4 linked regions of the Saccharomyces cerevisiae S288C genome follow. The gene in region 4 interacts genetically with the main gene of each other region. Each region holds a gene or a part of one and is shown on either strand. Other genes may lie near its edges. The genes, in order: AMD1, TGL4, HAM1 and APT2.

Region 1 (4,827 bases), on a different chromosome or scaffold from region 4:
TTCCGAGTGCGTACTATGTCTTTCACCCACTTCCAATATTAGTGATGCTTTCCTCAAATTCGGAATCAAAGACGATTCGTCACAGTTAATATGCCTTAAGTTCCATACTAATACTGACGATGTAGACAAAGAGCAATTGAGGACGATTATGACTTCTATAGTAAAAGGACAAGAGATCGAGTTTAATGATGACAATTTATCGAGATTTTATGACGAAGCGCTCATAAGAAAAGTATGTTTTAATAATAAATTCGAGGTAAAAACTTCAACAGCCTCACCAGAAACACATTGTACTAACTTCACCTTTGTTTTCCTTTTATTTTGTTTTTACCTATTAGATCTATAAATTAAGTGATGATTTCAAGCCCCAAGACGTAAATGGTCTCTCAAGAGCTTTGGTAGACGCTATTCAATTGAGGGGTGTGTAGATAAGAGATATCTAACGATAAAATTATAAAAAAAATTCTTTGATTATTTTTCAGATTAGTATTATTTGTTCTCCGTGAAGTCAGTGTATCGAACTGCCAAAAGTTCTCCTTATATACATGTGCGCGTATAACCATCACTTTTCTTCAATGGTTCTCTTGAAATTGGCAAAATGATTAACTAATTCCAGTTCAGTTGATAATGTATCGTATCTGTAGTTAATTCTAATATCAGGAACATTTGTTCTAACCACATCGTTACCTTCAACACCACTCTTGTCAAAATCTTTCCCTATCCAATGTTTTTTGATTTGTGCTTCCCACCCACTTTGCAACACGGAATTTCTTGCCAATTCACACATATCTACATTAGACAATTTATAAATTTGTGCTGCAACTGAGTATTCTTCGATTAATGGTTCTCTGGTATATGAGAATTGTAAAGGATCATCTGTGGATAGTGAGACATTCAAACCTCTTTTAAAGTATCTCGGAAATGGGTTTTTATCATAGGTCAAAAATAATGCGTTATTAGAAAGGGGTGACATTGCGATACCAACCTGATCTAAATAGTATAAGTATTGAACAAATGGAACTTTCCTCAATAAAATACCATGTGATATACCATGTGCCAATAGATATGCTGAAACGAGATGCTCGGGGTCACCGGCTTCACCACAATGTGGTCTCAAAACCAAAGTGTTAAACCCTCTCTTAGCCCTCCATTGATTCAAAGACGCGACATTTGAATACAAATAGTACAGGTAATAGGAATAAGGAGGGTTTTGAGGAGCCTCCCAGAGTGATGGCTTGGGATATTTCCTATGAAAGCGGCGATCAACCTTGGATTCATCATCGACAGAATCAAACCCAATTACTCTCTGTAAAAATACATGCAATTTTGGATGAGACTGAGGATTTTTGGTCACTTCAAATAGTGGCTGAAACAGATTCTTACAGATGTCCTGGAAGCTTTGAACAATGCCAGTTTTCTTGTAAATATCATATAACCTCGGAATTTGGACTAACCAACGAACATTATGGGAAATAACTTTGTTGTCAATCACCCAGCTAGCTAGTTTATCCCATTCATCGAGAGACCTGCCATAAACAGAAATTCTATACTCACAGTTTTGGTATTTTGAATTCTCTAAATCGAATATGACTTGTTTGGTAATGTCAGCCAAGTAGGTACCCTTGATGTAGTTGTTTGTCTTCAAAAAAATTTCTCTGAGACGAGATTCACCGATAGGGTTATATTTTAAGTTGAATTTATCGAATCTGTGGAATGTATCCTTATGTGCATGCATATCTAAAGTATCGATGGATAAATCATATCCAGTCAAATGCAAAGAACGGAATACTTCGTCTAAAGTTAGTAGTTTCCCGTCCCTGAAAATAACCTTTTCATCTTTGGAATGTCTCAATTTGTGTTTAATGAAACGTAATAAGTGCTTTTGGTTCATACAAGCAGAATGGTGAACGTGAGTGTCCACTTTCCTAACATTATAAAAATCCCTGTGTGGGTTTCTTTTGGAAACGCTAGTTTCTTGATATTCGTTCAAGAGATAGTAAAGATTCCAGCGTGCTTCTAGGTATTGCAGCCTTCTATAAGCAAATGATTTAGCGGGACCGTCTGATGAGATGGAAATCATTTTTTCTAGATCCAGATAGTAGTCACGAAGGGTAGGGATTTGAGCAATTAACTCATCCGTCTTACCTGATCTGTGTACCACGTACGAGTCGTCATCGTTGAGGGTAAATTCCCAATCTGGATCCTCACCAGGAATTTCACATTTCGTAAAATCGAAAACTTCCGCATCCGGCTTGTTTGTTACTGGCACAACAGTCTTAGTGTCTGAGTTGTATGAAGGTTTAGGTGGTGGTGGATAGACTACCCAGCCTGGCTTATTTTTTGGGTTTTGATCATCGTTTTGCACAGATATGGTCTGATATTTGGCTCTCAAATTTCTACACTCTGCCACTTTGGAATACAAGTCAATCAACTCGGAAGAGGGATCATCAAGAAACTGCTGTGAAGCATCATCAGCCAACATTCCCATTTTATAGGAGGCAGAGGTACGTACCTGCTTATTCACTACCGGAGCGCCGGCAAATGACTTGAGCGTCTCTGGCAAGATATGCTGAGCACTAGCAGACAAGGTCCTCGGTTTACCCCCGGAATTTTGAGATGCATGGTCTGCCGAGTCATGGCCCTTATTCATCGCTGCTATGTTGGAAGAGCTACAATTGGTAGAATGCGATGGTTGCTCCAAGATGGCAGAGTGAGAATCATGCTCATCTAGGGCCAACTGTTTGGTGCCATTTTCCAACAACTGCTGATTCTCGTGATACGAGAAATTAGCATTCCGAGAATCAGCAGCTAAACTTTCGTGTGAATCTTGCTGCTCTAAGGGGGGTGTCTCATCATCCACTACGACACCAGCTTGTTCATCACCAATCTTTCTTTGATCTATGTCAATGACTAGTCCTGAACCATCTTGTTCATCGTGTGAAGGAGCTGGTTCTAGAGAAAGGTCGTTAAGCCTCTGTGTAGCCTGATTGTCCATAATTTTTTTTAGAATGCCCCCTTTTTATTTGTTATATAATTTATTAATCTGGCGTACTAGCAGTTCAATCGAGTTTTGCTGAATCAAAATTGGCTATAGCAGGGAGACTATAATAAAAATACTATTAATATCCGATAATTGACTAGTATACGAGAAACGCTGCTAATTCTGCCTGTAGAGAGAGAGAAGAAAAGTCGTCAAGAGATGCCTTTTTTTTTTTTTTAAAATTTATCTATTTTTTGATAATATCCTTTAAACCTTGTGCTACTAGAACTCCTTTCTCATCATCGCCAGGCGCAAAAAAAAGATGAAAAAGGAATGAAAAAAGAAAAGAGAAGACCCCCACGTGCCCTAAAAATAAAGTTAGGGCATCTATAAAATAACTAGGATATATATATTGATCACCCTGAACGGAAATCAAGGGTTTTAAAGAGCCCTCAAAATTACTGTTTTAGGAAGCCCCCTTTGTTTTTGTTTTGGTTTCAATTTGTGGTGGCTAATCTGGACATCGATCTACTTGTATAGCTGTCAATATACTATGCGGAATACATGGAAGAGAAATAGTCCTCAGTCATTATTAATAGTAGACTGAGACCATACGGAGTGAACGTAGAGGCCAGAACAACAAACAGTAGAACGGTAGCAGTACTCAGTTAGTGCCGCGATGAATAGTGACTTGGAGTATTTAGAGGACGGTTTTGATCCGAATTCAATGAAAGTTGCGACTTTGAGGAGGATATTGGTAGAAAATAATGTCGATTTCCCATCTAATGCTAGGAAAAATGCGCTGGTGGGGCTGTTCGATGAAAAGGTTAAACCGCAGATCCCGCAGTTACGGAAAATGTATCTGAACGTTCGGCCCAGCGATGAAGGTATTGTGAAAATGGACCGTCCCTCATCTTCCCCATCTATAGCTTCCCCTCGTAGAAGTAGACGAGCTCGCAGGGAGAAATCTGCTTCCCCCATGGCCAAACAGTTTAAGAAGAATAGAATACTGGATGATGTAAGTAATGATGATGATGATGATGATGATGATGATGATGACAATGATAAAAAAGACGATCCTTTAATTGTACCTAGTGGAACGGATACCGATGAAGTGGACGATGAAGAGGATGATGTGATAACATCAAGCTCCAACAAATCAGACACCAATGATTTCCAGCAAAATTCCGATACTCGTAAGAAAAGGAAAGACCCTGATTCTGACGACTGGTCTGAATCTAATTCAAAGGAAAATAAAATCGATAATAAGCATTTGAACCTCCTATCATCAGATTCAGAAATTGAACAGGATTACCAGAAGGCAAAAAAGCGTAAGACGAGTGATTTGAACCAAGAGCATGGAAATGGCTCTGCCATTTTAGGAAAACTTTCCGTCAAAACACCAATAAAGAACACAAATAGAAAGCCAGTAAGCATGGATAATTTTAACGATTCGTTGACTTCAAGCGGTACGGAAAATGATCCATTTGTACCGAACATACGACACAATCCAAAAGAGCTCGGAACTGCCAATGGAACAGGCCATAGCACACCCTTGAGTAAGTTAAAAGTTTCTGCCTCATTTGCGGATAAATTGCCTCAAAAGGAGGTACCATCTACAATACTGGTTCCAGAAGTGGAACAGCAAGAACCTTCTCAGAGTGAAAGAACACCGTCTTTGTTTTCGTCCGAAGGCTCTGGCTCAGAGTCGGAAGCACCCTTGCTTCCAGAGATCACCACGCCAGGTCCTCATCAGCCTATGGGTAATACCAGCAATAATGTGGTCGAAATGATAGATACAGATAGTAGTAACTTGGTATCGGATGAAGATGAAGTTTTAGTGCCTA
Region 2 (5,082 bases), on a different chromosome or scaffold from region 4:
ACCCATTATCATTAGCATTATGCCGAGGAGGACAATGATAATCTGTTGCCATAAGCGTAGTGAATAAAAATAAAACTGTAATTTTTGAACATTCTTCCTGATATTATGCATCAATCTCTCTCTAGGGGACATATTATAAATGTCTAAAAAATCATCATCATTAACATTTACTTCGTCATTGAATGACAATCCAGCATTAGTACCAACCCTTTGTCCATTATTACTATTTGGCATGATATCGTTGTCAAAGTCTTCGAAATAGCCATCAAATTCATCATCCTCCCCTTGGCCCATATTGGCATTTCCTGCTTCGTAAGACTGACTCATTTGTGTAACCAATATCTTTCTTCCACCATAATAATATTTTCAAATATGTTGAAGGTATTGTTTTAGTAAAGTGGCTTTTTTTCTTAGTGCAGCTCGAGAGAAAACAATGATTTCGATTTCCGCTTTGAAAATGATATGAATGAGAAAGGCCATTCGAATAAATACATAGATGAAAAAGAATATCTAGAGGATATATAAGCAAGCCCGTGTTTTCTTATTGAGTAAAACTGGTGGTGCTTTTGTGCTGCGTTGAAGAAGAAGGCCTCGATCGAAACGGTGAGCTCTTTGTAGCTTGAGAAGGGGGTCTTCCATCAATGCTATGACGCCTGAAATTGCCCGCTAAATCACTATGAATCATTGCGTCTGAATCGAAGTTACTTATCAGTCTCAATGTAGGATGGTCTTCTTTATCCGAATCTGTGTATAATATGTTGCTACTGCTGACCCATTTTTTGTTCATATGCCTCAAGTATCTACTCTTTCGGCCAAAATGCAATTTCTTGTCTACCATGGCAGGTGTTTCAATGCTGGCAGAATGTGGGATAAGTTCATGGCTTTCCGGGTCATAGGTCTTGGCATCCATAGGAAACATTAGCCGGCCCATACTTGTTTTTTTCTGCAGAATTGGCGGTGGGTGTCCATTGATTTTGCTGGATTGCCTCAACATCCTTGATGTGGGAGAAGCAACTGAAAATGAAAAGGATTTGGCTGGTCGCCTTGAAGTTGAAATAGTATCTGATTTCCTTCTTTGGTGACGCGGATTGAGAGAAGCGGACGTAATGGAATACCGCGGTCTAAACCCGGAAGGTGACCGCCCATATGTGCTTGCATTCTCACGTAACAATAGCAAAGAGTTTGTCGATTCTGATTCTAATAAGTTGTCATCTAAAACATTGGAAATATGATTGTCACCCTTGGTTGGAGTCCTAGTTAGCAATGTTGAATTTTCTGGGTTTTTGGACTCATCTGACGTTTGCTCTGGAGCTTTAATTAATCCAATGACTGAATCAGCAAATTGGAAGGGGGTTTTTAAAGAGGAGGTGACAATCATCCTACCTTTGATATAAGAAATCGCCTTATCCAGAGCAAATTCCTGGCCACAGTGATTTTGAATAATGGAAACCTTGGGCCACGTAGCTTTTGCACCATTGGTGATTTCCCTTAATAAAAATTCTTTTGTTGGGTTTGACAACAGCTCCTTTATTCTAAAAAGCATACACATGTCGGGCAAAATAGTGATGTCACCAGAATATTGTTGAGATAATACCGATCTCAGTTTTGTAAGCGCGTTTTTGGCAATTCCCATCTCACTTCCAATTTCTAGAATATGAATAGCTTCATTGGCCATAAAATTGTATATACTTGATAAGTTTTGCTTTAATCTTGCACTAAATTCGTCCTCAATTTCCCCGCCAACACAGGATAGTGATAGTTTCAAAAAGGGAAATACGTGAATATTCACCTGGCATGCGATAATATGGTCTACATTAAACATTTCAGAAAGACGAGAAATGGGCAAGTCATTGTCCACAGAACCATCGACAAATTTGACCGAACTACTACCAGTCCATGGTTTCCTTTCTCCCGTTTTTGGATCTTTTTCGTAAAGTGGGCTCGAGGGGAAAATTCCCGGTAGTGAACATGATGCACATACGGCGGACCAAATCAGGACGTTTGGTGCAGTCAAATTATTCAGCAAGCGCGGTTGTTCAAATAAAGATGCCGGCGAAACGGTTATATTCAAAATTTTACCCGTTCTATTGTAAGCTTCCCTAAATGTCAAATCTCCCAAAAATTCTATCATTGTATTTACCAGATGCTTGTTATCAAACCACGTACCGTTTTTGAAGAACCTAGATATTTTTATTAACAAATTCTCGCTTTCACTTTTCTGTTTATCGTCTTTGAAAATGTTGAATTCTTTATCCAAAATATGATTTAGTAAAACCGGAATTTCTTCTTTGTGATGGACAGATAATATGCTTGCTACAATTGCACCAGCACTGCTACCACTAATCACTCTGGGTAATAAATCCAATTCAAATAGAGTACCAAGGACACCGATGTGGAAAAGACCAAAAGTTCCACCCCCACTGAGAACTAAAGCGGTACGACCAATATTTCTTCTCGTTTGTTGCAGTATACCCAAAAGGTAACTATCATCAAGATCAGACTCCATTAAAGATTCTAGCGCTAACCTAGACTCCATCATATACTCGTCAATTAAATATTTGGTGCCTACATGGGAGTGCCTATATAGGTTTACATTCCCCATATTTCCCAGGTTTCGTACCCAATTCGTCCTAATGATGTACAACAATTGAGCGTAATTCCTATTCAAGCGCTCCTCACGCATTCTAGATGTTAAATCTTTTATTAGCTTGTAATCATACAAGGGACTTTCCAATTTCTGCTTCCATTCTGTTTTCCCAGTGAGGTCATCCAATCTGGCGCCCGCAGAACACCATTCTTCAAATGACATCGCATGTTGCTTTTGTGAACAGACTTTGTCAATAAGAATGTCTCTTTCATAGTTTCCCACAAAAACGTTGTAAAGAAATGATTTGCATTTACTGGCTAAAGATGACCCTTGCCTTTCATCTTCGCCTTCGTCTGTCTCAACCATCTCGATATCATTATTTTCATTTTCTGTTACTGTCTCTTGGTCATCGTCAAGTTTATCCTCGTTTCCAGTATCCAGGTTGAAATTTACTTTGTTCGTAGTTTTGTTCTTGCCAGTTTGCAGTCTTTTACCAGCATCCTCCTCCACCCTTTCAACATCTGAATTATCCTTACTGGGCCTAATAAACTTGTTCTTCGGATTTAAAATAGGAATTATGTTCTGGGAAGTGCCCAGGATCTGTTCGTAATATTTTTCGATTAGTTGTTGCGTAACAAGGAGGGGCTTATTTTGTGTAGATGTAAGATCTGATATTTTGCTGCTCATTCAGACTTTTATTACATATACCTGTACTCCCTTCAATAATTATTACAGCGCTAATTTTTTTGATCAAATACTTGAATACAGGCCTCTTTTACGAGTACAATAATGACATAATGACAATTTGAATCAACCATACTTTATAATTGTGGTTTAGCGTTTCATAGTCGCAATTATCGTATAAGAGGGGTAATATGTCAGCCCTAGTTTACCCTACTTTTTTTAAACCCCTTAAGATCTTTTTTCCTTTTTTCTAATATTTAACCTACTAATATTGGTAAGTAAACCTAATGACTTTTTGAAGCGCCTAGCCCTATTTCTTTCGAAATTTTCAATTCGCGTCCTTTTTCAATTCCATGAATAATAGGAAACATGAAAAAATAAGTAAATAATAATAATAGAAAAGCTGGAGTGTTGCAAATTTAAGAGGTAGCCTTAAAATATATTTCTGCTGTGTTGAATATTTAATTTATACAGCTAGAATAGGATATTATAGCCGAATTTTTTTCAAGCTTCTTCAAAGCTTATAGTGAATAACGTAAGGGGAAAAACAAGAATAAATTTAGCAAAAGAAACGCTCAAGTCAATGTATAACTCAATCTACGGGTCCCCCTTCCCTAAAATAAATCCGAAGGTCCGCTACAAAACTGCTCTAGAAAGAGCAGGGTTTGACACTAAGCCGCGTAATCCGTTCAGTAGTCAGAGGAATGCTTCCACTGGAAGTTTACAAGCTTCCGTGAAGTCGCCGCCAATAACCCGTCAAAGAAATGTATCTGCCGCCCCATCTGTTCCGGTCACGATGAAGAGTGCGTATACGGCGTCTTCAAAGAGTGCTTATTCATCTGTAAAGGGCGAGTCTGACATTTATCCGCCTCCCGTATTGGAGAATAGCGAGAGGCGGAGTGTAACTCCTCCAAAGAATAGCAATTTTACGTCTTCGAGACCCAGTGACATATCTCGTTCTATTTCCAGGCCCAGCGAGCGTGCTTCGCAAGAGGATCCCTTCCGTTTTGAACGCGACTTAGACCGTCAGGCGGAACAATATGCTGCCTCTAGGCATACATGTAAATCACCTGCTAACAAGGAATTCCAAGCCGCAGATAACTTCCCCTTCAACTTCGAACAAGAAGATGCTGGTAATACTGAAAGGGAACAAGATTTGAGCCCTATTGAAAGAAGTTTCATGATGCTGACTCAAAATGACACTGCAAGCGTTGTAAATTCTATGAACCAAACCGATAACAGAGGTGTGCTCGACCAAAAACTCGGAAAAGAACAGCAAAAAGAGGAAAGTTCAATCGAATATGAAAGTGAAGGACAGCAGGAGGATGAGAATGATATTGAAAGCCTAAATTTTGAACCAGATCCTAAACTACAGATGAATCTTGAAAATGAACCACTTCAAGATGATTTTCCAGAAGCAAAACAAGAGGAAAAGAATACAGAACCTAAAATTCCGGAAATTAATGTTACGAGGGAAAGTAATACACCATCTTTAACCATGAACGCACTAGACTCTAAAATATATCCTGATGATAACTTTTCTGGCCTGGAATCTTCAAAGGAACAGAAATCACCTGGTGTGTCATCATCGTCAACAAAAGTTGAAGATTTAAGTCTTGATGGGTTAAATGAGAAACGTCTTTCAATAACTTCTTCAGAAAACGTGGAAACACCATACACTGCTACGAACCTCCAAGTCGAACAATTGATTGCTCAATTAGACGATGTTTCCCTATCTAGAAATGCAAAGCTCGATATGAACGGCAATTGCCTCAACGCAGTGGACAGAAAGGCTTCTAGATTCAAAAAGT
Region 3 (2,943 bases), on a different chromosome or scaffold from region 4:
TTTTGGAAAGGATCTTGGACATTTCGGCAGGTGACTTGAGAAGAGGCATTACATTATTACAATCCGCTTCCAAGGGGGCGCAATACTTGGGTGATGGTAAAAACATAACTTCTACCCAAGTGGAAGAATTAGCTGGTGTGGTACCTCATGACATTCTAATAGAAATTGTTGAAAAAGTCAAAAGTGGTGATTTTGATGAGATTAAGAAATACGTCAATACGTTTATGAAAAGCGGTTGGTCTGCTGCGTCAGTAGTTAACCAACTACATGAATATTACATCACCAACGATAACTTTGATACGAACTTCAAAAATCAAATATCTTGGTTGCTGTTTACTACGGATTCCAGATTAAACAACGGAACGAACGAGCACATCCAATTATTAAACTTATTGGTTAAAATATCCCAACTCTAATATACAGGCATCTTTATATAATTGAATATAGAGGCGACATAAAGTAAGAATAAAAAAAAAAAAATCTATCCATAATTCCTCTTATCTTCTCAGCACATCACCTAAAAGTCATTTTGATACAAGTACTCTTTAAACTGAGCGAAGGCTTTACCACGATGAGAAATAGCATTCTTTGCGTCTTTGCTCATCTCTGCGTAAGTCAGTCCATGACTATCAAAAGGTTCAAAAATTGAATCCCAGCCGAATGTAGTGGGTCCCCGGCTTGGAACGATCTTGCCTCTTGTAATACCTTGAAAGAAGTGATATTCACCCCGAGAATCAGCAAAACAAATGGTGGTAACTGCTTCAGCGTTTTTATTTTCAAAGGGTTCCAACATTTTCACAATTTTTTCCAATCCCATGCTCTTTAAAAACCATTTTATATAAGCACCTGGTAGACCGTTAAATTCGTCAAATCTCAACGCAGTGTCTTCCACAAACACTGGCTTACCCTTACCCAAGGCCGCAACAGCTTGCTTTCCCTTAGCTAACGCAATGGCATTCAGATCCGTGTCCTGCAATTCTTCCAGGTCTAAGGCCTCATTGATTAAGTGGATGGTTTTGTTGTTGTTGTCGACCTCTTGAGTCAAAATCGACTGCACTTCCTTTAACTTGTTGGCATTGCCAGTGACAAATACAATTTCGTTGTTGCTCATTCTGCTATCGTTCGTTTTTAGATATCTCTATGTGAGTGTTTCCTATGCTTTGAAGACCAGTGTTGAAAGCTGAAGCTCGAGAGAACGGTTTCGAAAATAAATAATTTTTTTGCTATTTGATACATTTGTATATATAACGGAAATGGCGGGTTTTGAAAAGTATAAAATACAAGATTATACAATGATTATTGTTACTATCATTATTGATGATGCTGATTCTTCTAATTAGCAGTTGGAGCATATTCTAGTTCGTTGCTGTTTTCGTAATCATACATATCTAGCGCAACGATACAAGATTCTCTGACGACATCGACTTCATCGTTGAGGTAAGATTTCAAGACGTCGACAACTTCTGGAGAAGCAATGGCACCCAAGGCTTCAGCAGCTTCATGCCTAACCATTGGAGCTTCTTCCTTTCTGCCCAAAACTTCAATCAAACTTGGGACAGCAGCCGGACTACCTATTTGACCGAAGACGTAGGCGATTTCATGCTTGAAAAGGGAGGATTCTGCACTGAAACCAGTGGCCAAGGCCAGGATTGCTTCATCAGTACCGATATCTCTCAGTCTGAACATGGCTCTGTATCTTTGGAACAAAGGTTGCTTAGGATCATTCAATAAGGCCTGTAGTTCTGGGATGGTAGCATCCTTTTCTAATGGTAGAGGTGGGGCTGGGTCAATACTCGAGTATAGGGATTGTTGCAAGTTTTCCTTATCCTTGGCACCTCCATGGGTCCAGTTGATTCTGTTAATGGCCAGTTCACAGGTTTCTCTCACAGCAACGTGTGGATCCTCCTTAGCAGCCTTATTTAGGTCATCCAACGAATCCTTGTCACCTAGGGCACCCAAAGCCTCAGCGGCTTCGTGTCTCACCATTGGTTCTTGATTTTGATCTAACATAACGTGTCTTAAAGTTGGAGCAGCGTCCAAGTTCTTGGTTTGACCCAACACGTAGGCCACTTCGTGCTTCAACAACTCAGACTTGTCATTGACGAAGGATTCGGCAATGTATTCGATGGCCTTTTTGGCTTCCTCTGGCTTAGTGGCAAATTCTTCAGCAACAGTCTTTAAGTTGAACAGAGCTCTAAATCTGTTGGCCAAAACTGTTTTGCCGGACTTGTTGACTAAGATGTCCCTTAGTTGCTCTAGAGTGCATTCATCGACGTTTTCTTGGAAATGTTTTTCAAAGTTAGTAGACATGTTTTTTTTTTTCTTTCTTGCGTGGTATGTTAGAAGGACTACAGTTTATCCTAACCTAAACCTAGAGCTACCGTCAAATATACACGTGTATTCACTGGATTTGCCTTATGTAATTTATATGATAAAAACTTTTCAGCTCATCGAGAAAAATTTTCTTTCCTCCCACGCAGGATAGAGAAAAAAAAAAAATTTTTTTTTTTTCTTGTTTCTCACTGCATTCTACAGGGATTTCTGTGGAAGGATTACCTCTATTGTTCAAAAGATAATAAACGTGGGAGTTTATCTGACGTTCGTCTTTGCAATTCCATTGTCTTTTTTTTTCTCTGCGGGTCGAATGATCGCCGAACCAAAGGACTATACGTAGTTATTTAGTTTCTAATATACTTCGCGATATTTTCTGCAGTCTCGCTACTGGCCGTTTTCCCTACTTGTTGCATAGCTTCCTGATATCTCCTTTGTAGGTCTGGAGCAGAGTTCTCGTTGACCTCACCTTTTGTTCTTTCTTCGCCTGGGAACGTGTATTCTCTCTCAACGCCTTCGTCCTCATCCCTATCCACAAGACCATCATTGGCATCCTCTTCGAGGTCGCTAATGGCATCTATGCTGTCGTTGTCGCTGGCTGCAGCGCTGCTC
Region 4 (2,991 bases):
TTAAACTAACTAATGAAGACCCGCCCGGACTGATGTACTTGAAGGCATTTGATAAAAACAAGTTACTGTTGTTAGCTGCGCAGATTGTTTCATACTGTTCTAATAATAAGAACTCCATCAAAAACGTGCCACCAATATTAATAATTTTACCCTTGGATAATGCAACTCTGACTGAATTAGTAGACAAGGCGAATATTTTTCAGGTGATCAAGAACGAAGTTTGTGCCAAGATGCCTAACATTGAACTATATTTGAAAGTTATTCCTATGGATTTCATTAGAAACGTACTGGTGACAGTGGATCAGTACGTCAACGTAGCAATTTCTATATATAACATGCTGCCGCCAAAATCTGTAAAGTTCACCCACATTGCGCATACGCTGCCGGAGAAAGTGAATTTCAGAACCATGCAGCAACAGCAAATGCAACAGCAACAGCAACAGCAACAGCAGCAGCAGAATAACAGTACAGGATCATCTTCTATAATATATTATGACTCGTACATCCACCTGGCATACTCGCGTAGTGTAGATAAAGAGTGGGTTTTTGCAGCTCTTTCAGATAGCTATGGACAAGGCAGCATGACGAAAACGTGGTACGTCGGGAATTCCAGAGGAAAATTTGACGACGCATGTAATCAAATATGGAATATCGCCCTAAATTTAGCGTCTAAAAAATTCGGAAAAATATGTCTAATTTTAACTAGATTGAATGGCATACTGCCGGATGATGAATTGATGAATTGGAGGAGACTTTCTGGTAGGAATATACATCTTGCTGTGGTGTGTGTGGATGACAACTCTAAAATCTCCTTCATAGATGAGGACAAATTGTACCCTAGTTTCAAGCCGATCTACAAAGACACTAGGTTTGGAGGACGCATGGATATGACCAGATTATACGACTATGAAATAAGGGATATAGACCAGGACATCCATGGAATAGTATTTCAGCACCCGTTCCCACTGGCACACTCACAGCATCGCTGTGCTATTAGGAGTGGTGCTTTGATCAAATTCAAAAAATGCGACGGTGATACGGTTTGGGACAAATTCGCAGTCAACCTTTTAAACTGTCCACATTCTGATAGTACACAATTGCTGGAAACCATCTTAGAAGAGTTTCGCAACCTGGCTGCTCTAAACGTGTGGTACGGTCTCTCTGATGGCGAAGATGGCCATATTCCATGGCATATCCTAGCCGTGAAAAAAATGATGAACACTCTTGTGCACACCAGAGTAAAAATTGCTAATACTTCCGCCGCTACTGTGCATACCGCTACTTCTTCATCAATTATTCTCTCGGATAAATAAACTTTTTCCGGCAACGTTTTCCTGCTCATCTGTAGCCCTATTTACCAGTTTTGGTTTTAGTATTATTCCGGGGTGTAAACCCAGAAGTCTATTTCTCCAGTCGGATTTATAAAAACAAAACCGGAAGCGGGGCGGTACGGCATTTTCACTGGTGATGCACGCCCAGCGTGTAGTCCGAGACAATTTCCACAGAACGCGAATGAGATTGCGTTTAAGGCTGTATTTTCAAGGCACACGAAGCGGCCACGTGGGTCTGCGATGGTGTGTTGATGATGTCAAGAATGGTATCATACTCCGTATAAGGTTATGTAATCGGAAGTCGCGATTCTTTTTCAATTTTTTCTTTTTATTTTTTTCCAGTTTTTTCGTCTCTGCGATGGAAAATTGTTGAAGTTCTCTTGATTAGCAAGTAGTTCTTACATCGCAGGAATCTTATGTTGCATAGCTCAATTTACAAAAATAACAAGGATAAATATATATATATACGCATATACTTTTTGGGTGTTAAAGTAAATTTTGCACCCGTTCATACCAATCGTTCAGATAATTTTCGCTCCTTAAAAAAAGAGAGTGCGTGTGTATATGCCTGTTCATTGCCTGTCCGCCTCTCATTATGTCTATTTCTGAATCTTACGCAAAGGAAATAAAAACTGCATTTAGGCAGTTCACTGACTTTCCCATAGAGGGTGAGCAATTTGAGGATTTTTTACCTATTATTGGCAACCCCACGCTATTCCAAAAGTTGGTACACACGTTCAAGACGCATTTAGAAGAAAAGTTCGGCAAAGAAAAGATCGACTTTATTGCAGGTATAGAAGCTAGAGGCCTTCTATTTGGGCCATCCCTAGCACTGGCATTGGGAGTTGGATTTGTTCCAATAAGGAGAGTTGGAAAATTGCCGGGTGAGTGTGCTTCTATAACATTCACAAAATTAGACCATGAAGAAATTTTTGAAATGCAGGTTGAAGCCATTCCCTTTGATTCCAACGTGGTTGTCGTGGATGATGTTCTCGCCACCGGTGGAACGGCATATGCTGCGGGCGACCTTATCAGACAAGTGGGTGCTCATATTCTGGAATATGACTTTGTGCTAGTGTTAGATAGTCTACATGGTGAGGAGAAATTATCTGCTCCTATTTTTTCCATATTGCACTCCTGATTTAAATTTGTTCTCTGCCTCCTCCTTCAATTATTTTCCTTTCCTTCGCATATTGCTACTTTTTAGCTTGAACTTCTTTTGTTAATATAAACTGGTACTTTACTTTTTAGGTACCTGGTCCACGGCGCCTTATCCTTCTTTTAATTCATATTATTACCTACTCTTATTCTCTCCCTTTCTATTTTTTTATTTTTTGATTTTTATAAGTTACACTTGTGTACATGTTATTTCTACTTAGTTATTCATACTCATCGTTAAAAGCCGTTCAAAGTGCCTCATCTGGTATACTTCACCGGCGTACCTCTGTTCCTCCTACCTCTTGCAGCAGGGCTGAATAAACTTTCGTCCACATCCTCCATCACTGTTGATATATAATACTCTCCGCCACTATGCGTCCATGAAACACTATCCTCCTTAAGATCATACCTTTGCACCTTTAATCTATTGAAGATGTTCTCAACATTGTAGAAGTTGATCTGATAAGTGAGGCTTCTTAAACTTTTCAAACTTATGATCTTA

What was found.
Region 1: of APT2 (region 4) and AMD1, extra expression of one rescues a mutant of the other (dosage rescue), as found in Saccharomyces cerevisiae (one study listed by BioGRID).
Region 2: mutations in APT2 (region 4) and TGL4 together harm fitness more than expected from each alone (negative genetic interaction), as found in Saccharomyces cerevisiae (2 studies listed by BioGRID).
Region 3: of APT2 (region 4) and HAM1, changing one suppresses a phenotype caused by changing the other (phenotypic suppression), as found in Saccharomyces cerevisiae (one study listed by BioGRID).

Annotation. Positions count from the first base shown.
Region 1 is NC_001145.3:205,866-210,692, forward strand, and holds AMD1 (AMP deaminase), read right to left. Parts: upstream 2,996-4,827; coding exon 563-2,995; downstream 1-562. Other genes in the region: CGI121 (Cgi121p), read left to right, coding at 1-232, 339-428; SRC1 (Src1p), read left to right, coding at 3,660-4,827. UniProt on the Saccharomyces cerevisiae protein: AMP deaminase plays a critical role in energy metabolism.
Region 2 is NC_001143.9:605,092-610,173, forward strand, and holds TGL4 (triacylglycerol lipase), read right to left. Parts: upstream 3,275-5,082; coding exon 542-3,274; downstream 1-541. Other genes in the region: TVP38 (Tvp38p), read right to left, coding at 1-327; PXL1 (Pxl1p), read left to right, coding at 3,855-5,082. UniProt on the Saccharomyces cerevisiae protein: Lipid particle-localized triacylglycerol (TAG) lipase. The lipid droplet/particle is a lipid storage compartment which serves as a depot of energy and building blocks for membrane lipid biosynthesis.
Region 3 is NC_001142.9:568,289-571,231, forward strand, and holds HAM1 (nucleoside triphosphate pyrophosphohydrolase HAM1), read right to left. Parts: upstream 1,112-2,943; coding exon 518-1,111; downstream 1-517. Other genes in the region: RFC2 (replication factor C subunit 2), read left to right, coding at 1-416; LIA1 (deoxyhypusine monooxygenase), read right to left, coding at 1,333-2,310; GTPase NPA3, read right to left, coding at 2,679-2,943. UniProt on the Saccharomyces cerevisiae protein: Pyrophosphatase that hydrolyzes the non-canonical purine nucleotides inosine triphosphate (ITP), deoxyinosine triphosphate (dITP) as well as 2'-deoxy-N-6-hydroxylaminopurine triphosphate (dHAPTP) and 5-bromodeoxyuridine 5'-triphosphate (BrdUTP) to their respective monophosphate derivatives.
Region 4 is NC_001136.10:1,343,998-1,346,988, reverse strand, and holds APT2 (adenine phosphoribosyltransferase APT2), read left to right. Parts: upstream 1-1,926; coding exon 1,927-2,472; downstream 2,473-2,991. Other genes in the region: SSN2 (Ssn2p), read left to right, coding at 1-1,313; histone methyltransferase DOT1, read right to left, coding at 2,748-2,991. UniProt on the Saccharomyces cerevisiae protein: Catalyzes a salvage reaction resulting in the formation of AMP, that is energically less costly than de novo synthesis. May lack catalytic activity.